3 linked regions of the Canis lupus familiaris genome follow. The protein of the gene in region 3 binds, or shares a complex with, the protein of the main gene of each other region. Links are inferred from orthologs where the notes say so. Each region holds a gene or a part of one and is shown on either strand. Other genes may lie near its edges. The genes, in order: CDHR5, MYO7B and CDHR2.

What was found.
Region 1: CDHR2 (region 3) and CDHR5 share a complex: the UniProt entries of both Homo sapiens proteins name them as parts of the IMAC/intermicrovillar adhesion complex. The link is inferred for Canis lupus familiaris from reciprocal best matches to the Homo sapiens genes CDHR2 and CDHR5.
Region 2: CDHR2 (region 3) and MYO7B share a complex: the UniProt entries of both Homo sapiens proteins name them as parts of the IMAC/intermicrovillar adhesion complex. The link is inferred for Canis lupus familiaris from reciprocal best matches to the Homo sapiens genes CDHR2 and MYO7B.

Annotation. Positions count from the first base shown.
Region 1 is NC_049239.1:26,062,421-26,066,311, forward strand, and holds the end of CDHR5 (cadherin-related family member 5), read right to left. Parts: intron 3,788-3,891; coding exon 3,697-3,787; intron 3,565-3,696; coding exon 3,467-3,564; intron 3,390-3,466; coding exon 3,189-3,389; intron 3,116-3,188; coding exon 3,002-3,115; intron 2,929-3,001; coding exon 2,841-2,928; intron 2,746-2,840; coding exon 2,419-2,745; intron 1,914-2,418; coding exon 1,747-1,913; intron 1,528-1,746; coding exon 1,108-1,527; 3' UTR 522-1,107; downstream 1-521. UniProt on the Homo sapiens protein: Intermicrovillar adhesion molecule that forms, via its extracellular domain, calcium-dependent heterophilic complexes with CDHR2 on adjacent microvilli. Thereby, controls the packing of microvilli at the apical membrane of epithelial cells.
Region 2 is NC_049240.1:24,407,161-24,411,347, forward strand, and holds the start of MYO7B (unconventional myosin-VIIb), read right to left. Parts: upstream 2,918-4,187; 5' UTR 2,612-2,917; coding exon 2,567-2,611; intron 268-2,566; coding exon 226-267; intron 1-225. UniProt on the Homo sapiens protein: Myosins are actin-based motor molecules with ATPase activity. Their highly divergent tails are presumed to bind to membranous compartments, which would be moved relative to actin filaments.
Region 3 is NC_049225.1:37,644,429-37,648,051, reverse strand, and holds part of CDHR2 (cadherin-related family member 2), read left to right. Parts: intron 1-1,208; coding exon 1,209-1,298; intron 1,299-1,890; coding exon 1,891-2,016; intron 2,017-2,087; coding exon 2,088-2,234; intron 2,235-2,321; coding exon 2,322-2,397; intron 2,398-2,485; coding exon 2,486-2,601; intron 2,602-2,721; coding exon 2,722-2,955; intron 2,956-3,623. UniProt on the Homo sapiens protein: Intermicrovillar adhesion molecule that forms, via its extracellular domain, calcium-dependent heterophilic complexes with CDHR5 on adjacent microvilli. Thereby, controls the packing of microvilli at the apical membrane of epithelial cells.

The sequences.
Region 1 (3,891 bases), on a different chromosome or scaffold from region 3:
CTGCAGACTGGGGGGCGGGGGCAGGCAGAGGGAGAGGGTCCCCTAGAAGACTTCCCGCTGAGTGCGGACCCCACCCCCACCCCGGCTGGATCCTGGGACCCTGACATCACGACCTGAGCAGAAATCCACTGTCCCCAGGGAACCGAAGAACCAGCCAGGCGCCCCCCCCACTCGGTGGCTTTTCGATTTTTTAAGATTTTATTTATTTATTCATAGAGACACAAAGAGAGGCAGAGACACAGGCAGAGGGAGAAGCAGGCTCCATGCGGGGAGCCCGATGTGGGACTCGATCCCGGGTCTCCATGGTCACGCCCTGGGCTGCAGGCGGCGCTAAACCGCTGCGCCACGGGGGCTGCCCAGCTTTTGGATTCTTAATGAGAATTATCCAGACAAGAACATTCACATGTCCCTAAGAATAAGACATTTGTTTTTTTTTTGTTTTTTTTTTTGTTTTTTTTAATATTTTATTTATTATTTATTTATTTAAGTCACAGACAGAGAGAGAGAGAGGCAGACACACAGGCAGAGAGAGAAGCAGGCTCCATGCACCGGGAGCCCGACGTGGGATTCGATCCCGGGTCTCCAGGATCGTGCCCTGGGCCAAAGGCAGGCGCCAAACCGCAGCGCCACCCAGGGATCCCTAGAATAAGACATTTGGAACGGCATTGGGGATGCCTTTTCATCAGGAAAAGCGCGGAGGGCCCACGAGGGTCAGGGAGGTCCCCCCCTGAGGAGGCCCCCAGAGGGGTTCTGTCCCCGCTGCGGCCGCTGCGCCCCGCAGGCCCGGGACCTCGCCCTCCAGAGTAGTGTTCCCGAGGGGGGCCCCTCAGCCCCCAGGCAAAGAAGGGGTGCCCCCGCCGCGCAGGGTGCGGCCGCGGTCACACCGGGAGAGGAACTTGGGCCGCCAGCTGGCTCCAGCCCGGGAAGCCCCGAGGCGGCAGGTGGTTTACGGGAAGCGGGACGCAGAGCTGCGGGGGGCGGGGGGGAGGGGTGGGGGAGGGGACGCATAGGCCACGCCTTCCCCTCCGGCGGCGGCTCTGGGCACCCTGGCGCAGCAGAGCTTGGACACCGTGCCTTTATTTTGCGCGGGGGGCGGGGGGCGCCGGGCTAGACGTAGGTGGAGCCCCCGCCGGGCTCCCCGTCCTCGTCGTCCCCGTCGCCGCTGTGCTCGCTGCCCGAGTCGGGGGCGCGGGCCGCGTCGGGGGCGGGCGCGTTGAGGACCACCACGTCGGCCTCGGCCCCGATGTCCTCCCCGAACCACACGGCCTTGTAGCCGCCCTCGTCGGGCCGCCGCTCCTTGGTCAGGATGGACCTCACGGCGGCGGGGCTGCCTCCATCCCGGGCCGCCTCGGGGGCGCCGGGGGCAGGGCCCGCGGCTGCGGAGCCAGAGGCCTCTTGGGGCGTGGGCTCGGGGGGCTCGGGGGGCCCCGCCCGCGTGGGGCCGGGGGAGGCGCGCGGAGCCGGCGCCCAGTTGGCCTCTTGGGGGTCCGAGAAGGCCTGGTTGTCGAAGGCGAGCGCCTGGTGGTCCTGGCGGGGAGACGGGACGATCAGGGCATCACCCAGGCCCCGGCCCGGCTGGGGCTGGGACTGTCCCCGGAGCCGTCCTGGGGGACAGGGCCGCGGGCTGGTCTTTCCTTTCCTTGCCGTGTCCGCCTCCACACTCCGTGGGCTGGGACGACCGCCCGGCCCCCCCTCCTGCCCTCCCCCGTGGGCCCTCGGTGCTGCCCCCGCCCGCTCAGGCCTCACCAGGGCTTTTCCGGAGCAGCACTTGAGCCGCCTGCCGAACTGCTTGTGGCCCAGGATAACGAGGGCGATCAGAGCCAGGAGCAGCAGCGCGCCCAGCACCCCGCCCAGGGCCGCCATGTCCACCGCAGAGAAGCGCCGGTCCTCAGCTTGGCTCTGGGCCGGTCCTGCTGGCAAGGCCACCGGCTACTGCGGGCACCCGGCACCCCCACCACCCACCCCAGGCTCTGCACCCCCTGACGTGACAGCTGAGGCTCCGGGGAAGGGCACTACTCACCCCCCGACCGAGGAGCTGGCTGCTCCCAGGGGCCGTCGGGGAGGCCGTGCTGCAGGAGGCAGGGCGGGCGGGCGGGCGTCAGTGCCCACCAGCTCCCAGTGGAAGCCAGGGGTCCGGCACCCTGGAAGGCCATGAAGGCAGTGCTGGGGCCGGTACACGGAAGGCCTGGAATCGCGGGGTCCCCCGGACCCCGAATCTGGCTCCTGCCCCATGCTCTGGACACCTTCCCCGGCCTGCCTAGTCAGGGGCACCCGGGGCCTGTGCCTGCCCGGCCCAGAGCAGGCTGTCTCAGGATTTCACGGTCAGCGTGGTCGTGCTGGGCCACCCCAGGCAGACTCTGCCCTACCAGGACCCCCAGGACCACCCCGAGGGCGACTAGGGCAAGCGGGAGGTGCTACCTGAGGGCTGGGGGGTCCTGCTGGGGTCAGGGGCCAGCGGCTGAGAGGTTCCTGGCTCCAGTGTTGGTGTTGAGCCCCCGCTGGGTGAGGCTGATGGGAGGGAGGTGCTGGTTCCCACACTGGGGGGCCCCCCGGGCGTAGATGAGGCTGGTGGCCTCAGAGTTGTGGTTGTGGGGGGATGTGGGCCAGCGCCCCCCCCAGAGCTGGTCGTAGAGGATCCCTGGGAGGGCCCCGGGGGCCTGGGGGCTTCTGAGGCAGTGCTGCTCGAGAGGCTGGTGGTTCCTCCAGCCCCTGGGGGTGTGGGGGTTTCTGGGGGCCCTGATGAACCTGGGGGGCCAGGGACAGGATCCGGGCTTGCCTCTGTCCAGCGCGCCCGCCCCGGGGAGCCCCCGCCCCCCGCCGGGGTGAGCAGCCGGGCTCACCTGTGGGGGCGGGTCCCTGCGGCTCCAGCACCTGTATCTCCAGCACCGAGCGGGCGGTGCCTGCGGTCACGGTGTTCATGGCCTCAACCTGGAGCAGAAGCGGGGCTGGTCCCTCACAGGCCCCGCCGTCGTCCCCCCTTGGGGGTGCCCCCCACCCTTACCTCTGCATAGGAGACCCCCTTTTGGGTCAGCTGGGCGGCGGTCCGCACGATCTCGCCATCCATCCGGAATTTGGTGTTATTGGTGATGCGATACGTGATGGCGGAGTTGAGGTCCTGGACACTGCGCAGTGAGCCCTGGGCCCAGGCTGCCCCCCGACTCCCCCCCCACAGAGGGCCTGGTGCCTACCGGAAAGTCGGGGTCCTGAGCCCAGACCCTCAGAGGCAGGGAGGGGCTGGCTGTGTCTCGGATCTCCACGCCCACTGCAGAGTTGAGCGCCACGGTGCCATAGTAGCGGCTCTGCGGGAACTGGGGCACGCTGCCAGTGGCACTTCGGGCCTCGATCGTGACCCAGGTCACCGAGTAGCGGGCGCCGTCTGACTGCTCACCCTGGGGGTGGGGGAGGCCTCAGCGACAAGCAGGTCCTCAAAGCCCCGGCCCCATGGAGGCCTGGCCAGGGCGCCCACCTTGACCAGCAGCGTGAAGGTCTTTGGGCTGGGAACGCTCCTGGTCATGGTGAGGTTGCCCGAGTTGGCGTCGATGGCAAATGTGCCGTCGTCTTGTCCTGCGAAGATGGGGGGAGGTGAGGCCTCTCGCTCCGTCCAGGGGTCTGAGGTCTGGGGCCCCCGCTGGCTCTGCCCACGGGCAAGTCCCCCCAGGTCCAGGATGCAGAGGCAGGGCTCCAGCGCGCACTCACCTGTCACGATGCTGTAGAGGACACGCTGGTTGACGCCCCGATCCCCGTCCACGGCATAGATGGGCCCGGGACGCAGGACAAGGGGGGCTGGCTGCAGGAGCAGGGACAGGGGAGACACCTGGGGCCGCTGAGCGGGGCCCAGCGCAGCCCCCGTTCCCCACACGGCTGCTGAGCACGCCCCGTGGGGGTGAATTT
Region 2 (4,187 bases), on a different chromosome or scaffold from region 3:
CCTATATATAAGTGAAGGATTACCACCCAAGTGTGGCCGCCTGCCCAGGCCCAGAGACTGGCCAAACTTGTTTTCTTTATATAATATAATCTGTTTTATTCCCCATATTCCCTTGTCTCTGATGTTTTCCTTGTGGGCCCTTGTTGCCTCTCCCTGAGTGATTTGACCTAGCTAGCCTTTGGTAACTTCCCAGATAAACCCTAATGCAACAGATGCAATTCTTACCAGCCTGAAGGCTGACATCCTGAGGCAGCAGGTCCTCCCAGCCTATGAGAAGAGAGAAAGCAGAATGTTAGTGCTCATTCTGACATTCTGGCGCTGCGTGGAGCCCCGGGAAGAAGGGGCCATGTGTGTATATCAACATGGCCCTGAGTACCTGGCATGGGGCCTGGCTCAAAAAATTACTCTTTTTTTTTTTTTTTTAAGATCTTATAAGTTTATTTGAGAGAGAGAGAGAGAGAGAGAGAGAGAGAGAGTGAGCAAGCACGAGCAGGCAGGAGGGACAGAGGAAGAGAGAGTAGCAAGCTCCCTGCTGAGTAGGGAGCCAAACATGGGGCTTGATCCCAGGTTCCTGGGATCATGACCCCAGCCAAAGGCAGACACTTAACCAGGAGCCCCACAAGAAATATGACTCTTGAATAAATGGATAAATAAGTCACAGTTCCATCCCAGGGTGAGAAGATGCTTTCTGGATCTTCTTCCATCTTACCTCATCTTTATTGAACATCTATTTTGTACTCAGTACTGGGCTTGATATAGGTAGCATGGGTGGTTTTGAACATACTTAAGACATAGTCCCTGTCATCCAGAAGCACAAATTTTATCTGCTCAGACATCTGTGAAAACCAGTCATCACCCACCACACATGGTGTGTGCACCATGGGGAGTGCTGAGGTAAGCAGCCAGTGTAGCTAGAGACATGTGACGTACTTTATGTAAGCCTCATAGCACCCCAAAACACAGGTACACAGGTGTTTCTCCACTTCTTACATGAGACCCCACAGAGGGCAGGTGACCCAGTTAGGTAGCAGCACAGCTGGGAATCCAATCCTTATCTGCCTCATTTCCAACCTGCCCCCAGCACCTGGCTACCTCCTAGGGGTTTTGGGAGCACTCTGGCAGGCCTCATTAGCTGCAGCAGGCCAAGGAGGGAGACTGGTGGGCCCTGCCTGCTGTTGTCCTGACCTGGGGCACAGGCCCTTCACCCACATCCCTAGTGAGCATTGAGAGGTGTGCTGGTTCTATTTTGTTCATCACTGTGCTCCCCACATCTAGCACAGGCCTGCCCCCAGGAAATGCTTGTTCAATGAAACCCTGAATGATATCCCTGGAGAGGCTTCGACAGTGACTTTAAAAGATGATTAAGAATTCACAGTGGAAGGAAGGGAAGGCCTTCTCCAAGGATGGTGCAACTCTAGCAAAGTCAGAGGGAAAAGTGCAAAGGATGTTGGGGTCAGCATGTTTGGGTTGAGCAGAGTGAGTGGGGAGATGAGAGAAAAGTAGGGGTGTAGGCAGTGGGTGAACATGACAAAGAGCCATTTGCCACTGTTCTGGTGGACAAAGAATTTTCTTATTCTAATTTGTGTTTAGTGTACAGCATTTATATATTTAATGCCAATCTAAATCTTCCACTTTTGTTGAGCACCTACAATGCAAAAAGACAGTAATCAGATTGTATATTCCTTTTTAAAGTCCAAGCTTATGTTTTTCTCTCTAACTCCAAAGGAGCATGGAACCTCCTGTCCTGGTCCTGTCCCTGTTCCCCTGGGCTGGGACATTTGGGCATAGACAGAGGCTGAGAATCTAGGAAAGGCGTCCTTGGGGGCACTGCAGCCCAACTTTCCCACAGATGCTCAGGGCCCTGGGCCTCCCTGCCCTGAGCTGACCCATGGGAGTGGTCCCCCATAGGGGGCTGGGGAGGTGGTATGTACAATGGGAGAGTGTGGCTCTGCCATCCACCAGCTATGCCAGCTGGAGCAGGTCCTGCAAGTGATTTAGTGTGCTCCTTCCTGAAATGGAAATGGTTGGAGTTTTGCAGGGTCTCTGTGAGGTCAGAGACACCCAGGGAGGACCCATGAAATGTTTGTTTGTGCCTCCAGTACTTCTCCAGGAAGCACTCCTGAGGCTCCTGAGGGGTTATCATGCACAAGCATCAGGCTGCTGACACTTGAGGCCACATTTCCACTCCTTTGTCTGTGGAGAAATAGGCCCAGGTGACCACCCATCACCAGGACACCTCAGCTAAGATGGAGCCAGCCAGGCAAACTTTGGGGGATCTGTTTATTCTCATTTAGGTAGTAGAAACCTTGACATCCCTACAACTAACAGCTGCCCTCAGGAGAGGACTTCCCACATAGCAGACCCTGCTGTAGGAGGAGATAACTACTATCCTTATTTTGTGGGTAGAACAACAGAGGCCAATAAATAGAGATTTTGCCAAAACCATTAAACTGGTCAGACAAGAATGGGATTCTTCTGCCCAACTCCAAAATCAATGCACTTTGTCCTACTTCCTCTGCTCTGGGAAAGTTTAAGGGTCTGTATAAAAGTGCAAAGAAACTCTTACCTGAATCCTGGCTCCCAGAAGTTCTCTCAAGGGAGGCTGGACCATCTCCCTGCCTCACATAACCAGTGAGATGATGGGTGGGAAGGATGCAGAGGGGCATTGCCCTGCCCCTGGCTCCCCACTGCCACTCTGGCTTCTTACTTCCCTACTCCAGGGAGAAATTTGAAGCCCACCCATGGTCTCTATCACCCTCTGTCCCCTCACCCGTGGCATCTGACCGTCATGTATATCACATCAACCTTCTCCAGACACCAGGATGTGCCTCACAGTTACCCCCTGCCTATCCTGGACTCCCACTCCTCTGGCCCCCAGACTCCAGTGATGTTCACTCCCCTGCCACTGGCCCTGGTCTTCCCATGTCCCAGAACTGCTCCACCTCAGAAGCCATGTCCTCCAGAAACACCCTAACCCAGCATCATGCCCTCCCCCATGAGCAACTTCATTATGCTTCATTATGACCCCTCACCCCCTCTGTTTTTGGTCTGTCAGCCTGCATCCTAGCTTTATTCCTATCCCAGCCAGCTGGGACAGTGCCTTTCATCTTTCTGGGAACAAAGTGGTTTTACAAATACCCATAAATGTAACACAAAAATAAAGTACAATAAACTGCACGACATGTGCCCCCCTCTGGTCTATTGCACTCTTGTGAAGTAGGACTCCTGCTCACAACTTGCAAAGTCCTACCCCTGAGCCGAGCACACTAGGGATGCGTCACACCACCTCAAAGACAGGCCAGGGCAGTTTCATGGCCTGTACCTCTTCTAGGACTTTAGAAATGCCTGAGACCCTCCCAAGGGCCATGGTCAGCTCTTTCTGCAAAAAAACCCCTATTTTAAAGCTCCCTCCCATTACTCACTTTGTACCACAGGAAAAAGAGAGATGCCCCTGGACCTCCAGTTCTTCCAACTCCCTGCCTTTCCTTCTACATATGAGCACATAAGGGACTGCCCAGGGGAAGGGATGTACTGATGGCCTCTCATTAACCCCTCCAGCTCTGCCCTTTCTGGCCTCCTCCACTGGGGCTCTTGCTTTACCAATTACTGCAGTGGTTACGTCTACACATTTTTTGACATTTCTCCTTTCAAAAGACGGAGACTCATTCTTCCCTCCTTGAGTGTGGACTTGGTGATTCCTTTTAACAAATAAAATAAGGTATAGCTCTGACACTAGTTCATAAAGGCTTTGTGGTTTCCCCCTTCCTCTCTCTAAGATCGCTTGGCTTGGGGAATCTTGCTGCCATGTCATGGGGACCAGCAGCCCTAAGGAGGGGCCCCTGTGGGGAGGAACTGGATCTCCAGTCAACAGCCGATAATCTTGGAAGCAGCTTTCCCACCCTGGTCAAGGTCACAGATGTCCACAGCTCCAGCCAACATCTTGACTGTTACGGGCTAAATTGTGCATTGCCCACCCCGCCCCCCCAACATTCATATGCCGAAGTCCTAACCCCCAGTCCCTCAGAATGGGACTGTATTTAAAGAGGAGGCTTTTAAAAGGGGGATGAGGGGATCCCTGGGTGGCTCAGCGGTTTAGTGCCTGCCTTTGGCCCAGGGCGTGATCCTGGAGTCCCGGGATCGAGTCCCACGTCGGGCTCCCGGCATGGAGCCTGCTTCTCCCTCCTCCT
Region 3 (3,623 bases):
CTTCCCCTTTAGCAAGGGAGGGCAGCTCCACTTGAACGGACTGCATGGGGAGGAGGTTCCCTAATGGTCCCTGAGCAGCAAACACAACACCACTCCTTGATCTTCATTACCATGCGGCTTTGAAAATGTATTTGGTGTGGGGCCCCAAATACACTAAATACACACTAGGCCAGACATAAGACTGATGAGGTCCAGTCAGCCATCTGACAGACTCTGATGGAGCTCATGCTGTGTACCAGGCACTGGCTTTGGTGCTGAGACTATCTGGTAAATAAGGCAGATCTGGTCACATTTTAATGAAGAATATAGATAATAATCAATGAAACATTCAATAAGCAGGATTATTTCAGATGCTATTAAGCTCTATGAAGAGTGTAAAACAGGGCAAAGTGAAAGAAAGTGACCAGGAAGGGGGCTGGTTTAGGTTGAGCAACCAGGAAAGGCTTTTCTGAGTAGGTGACATTTGAACAGAGACCTACATGGCAAGAAGGAACCAACCATGGGATGCTCCAGGAGAAGGATGTTCCAGGTAGGGGAACAGCAGATTCAATGGCTCCAAGCTGGGAATGAATTTGGAGTGTTCTAGGCATATAGCCAGGAAGGTGCTGTGAATGGAGGGTGGAAGGTGAGGAGGAGGTGAGGTGAGAGAGGTGGACAGTGGCCTGACATCAGAGGGCCATAGAGGGAGTGAAGATTGTATTCTAGACAAAATAGGGAAACCATTGGAGGGCTTTTAGCACAAGAGTGATGTGGTCTGATTTATGATTTTCAAAGATCACTTTGGCCACTTTGTGGAAATAATGAAGGTGTGCACAGGTCACAGACAGGGCAAAGGCCTCCCCAAAGAACCTTCCAGCTCTGCAGGGTGCTGTCTGGGATGTACTGCTGTAGGCTACAGAGAGCCCACAGGATGTTTGAGCAGGGGAGTGGCACATCCTGGATTCTGGAATGATTGTGCTTCTTTCTCCTGAGGTGCTCTGCAAATCATAAGCCAGCCGAAGTGGTAGGGAGAGGAAAGGGGGGTAATCTGCTCCCTGCCCTCCCTCCCCCCAGTGGTCTCCAGAGGCCCAGCCCAAGTGAGAAGGAAAAGGGAGCATTGAGTGTCAGGCTCTAGGTGTTATTCCTGCAGTATAATCGGGGACATAAACTCAGGGAGGGGAAATGAGTGCTCAGTCGTGGAAGGGATGGATTGGAGTTCCTCATTACAGACCCTGCCAGTTGGCTCCCTGGTGTTCTCTGTGCTGGCCAAGGACCAAGACACGGGGTCTGCAGGAGCAGTGGTGTACTCCATAGAGCAGGTGAGCACAGGCAAGTCCTGTGGGAATACGGGCCCCACTGCTCCTCATAGCCACCAGGGGGCAGCATCTCCCACACAGCCTGCAGGAACCTTGAGTGTTGGGGTGAGCCCTGGCTCCCAAACCTTTTGCTGGCCCCCTCTGGACCTCATTTGATAAAGCCACCTAAGGAGGGTGACTGCCATGGACAGAACCCTTCTTCCCACCTTCTTGCCTTGGGGCACCGACTGGGCTTTTCCTGAGTTCATGTGGCTTCATGGGGTGGCTGGTACACAGAATAGGAAATCGAGAGGTACAGTGTCTTGTCCAAGGTCACACACACAACAGAGTATGTGACCCAGTTCTTCCGAAGGCATGTTAGCTAGCTATAGCTCCCGTCTACTGAGTGCCCACGATGTGCCTAGCATATACCTTACCTCATTGGACCCTCCTCTCAACCCACTGCTGATATGTCTGAGCTCATTTCCCAGAGGTGGAAACTGAGGCTCAGAAAGGTTAGGTGACCTGGTAAGGGTGGCAGGGCTGGTTAAGAGCAGAGCTAGGACTTGAGCCCTGGTCTCTCAGAGGGGAGCCTGCCCTGACTGCTCTGCCTCAGGTCATCCCTAGCAATGGGGAGAGCCAGCACCTCTTCAGGATCTTCCCCAATGGCTCCATCGTCCTCAATGGCAGCCTCAGCTACAACAACAAGAGTGCCTTCTATCAGCTGGAGCTGAGGGCCTGTGTGAGTAGGGGTGCAGACAGAGGGGGGCCAGGACCATGAGGCTCAGCCTTACGGAGACCTATCTCCCACAGGACTCAGGCGGCCTATACAACAACGTCTTCACCATCCAGTGCTCCTCGCCTGTCTTCCTGTCCATCTCTGTAGTCGACCAGCCAGACCTGGACCCTCAGTTTATCAGGGAGTTTTACTCAGCCACTGTGGCCGAAGATACACCCCAGGTGTGCTAGAGGACCTGGACGGGTCTGGGTGGACACAAGAGGCAGGGAAAGGGTCCGGCACATTGAACCACGTGGTTCTCTGCACAGGGAACGTCAGTGCTGAAGGTAGAGGCTGTGGATAGTGACAAAGGCATCAATGACCCAGTGATCTACAGCATTTCCAGTGAGAATTGGGGTGTTCCCAGGTGGAGGAAGGGGTGGGGGCTCTGCTGCAGCCACTGGAAGCAGTAGCTTCTACTGCCTCTCATCAGACTCCACAAGACCCGGCTGGTTTGCCATCAAGTCAGATGGGGTGATCATGGTCAATGGTTCCCTGGACCGTGAGCAGCTGCTGGAAGAGGATGAGGAGGTGAAGGTCCAGGTCATGGTGAGTGAGGGGTCCATTGCCCCTTTTGCACCCCTACCCTCAACTTCTGACCTTTAATCTCCGTTCTCTCTGATCCTTGGTTCTCTGACCTCTGGCCTCTGGTTTCTGCTCTGCCCTAAGGCCACTGAGACGAAACCCAACATCTATGGGCAGGAGGCCAAGGTGAGCATATGGGTCACACTGACAGTGACGGATGTCAATGACCACCAACCTGAGTTTTACAACTGCAGCCTTCTGGCCTGTACCTTCACACCCCAAGAGGCCCAAGTCAACTTCACTGGCTATGTGAATGAGCATGCCTCCACCCGCATCCCCATTGATAACCTCACCATGGTGGTCTACGACCCAGACAAGGTAGGTGCACCCAGAAAAGGGGTGGCTGGGCAAGAGTGATGGTGGGAGATGGCTAGGGAAGATGGTGGGGAGTGACCCATAGAACAAGGTGCTATGGTGGGTGATTGGTGGTGCTGATCATAAACAGTGTTGGAAAATCAGAGTTGTTAGGTGATATTTGCAAATGTTGGGTGATGTTATACTGGTGTGTAGTTTTGTGCTCAGGGCAGTGCTAGGTGGTGGTGAACAGAAAGGCAGCACTGAGTGAAGGTTAATAGTGGATGCTAGGTAATGTTGAGTGGAGTATATAGTTTTCAGTGGTGTTGAGGAGATGGTGGTGATGGGTACTTGGTGAAGTTGCAGGATGTTGGGGTATTGGATATTGGGGAATGTGGCAGTATTGAGCATAGAAGTGGTTGAGTGAGTGCAAAATTGGAGAGTATTCTTAAGTGGAAATTGATATTGAGAGGTGGGTGAGCTGGGTGGCATTGAATAATGAATACCTATGGATGGTGTTTGGTAGTATGTGGTGATATTGGGTTGGTACCAAATGTGGAGTGGAGGATGGTATTGGGTGGTGGTAGGTGGGTGGGTATATTGAGTTGGTGGTTGGCATTGAGTGAAGCAGAAGGGGTGTGGAATGGAGGGTGGTGTGGGTAATGGGGTGATGTTGGGTGTTGCTGGTATTT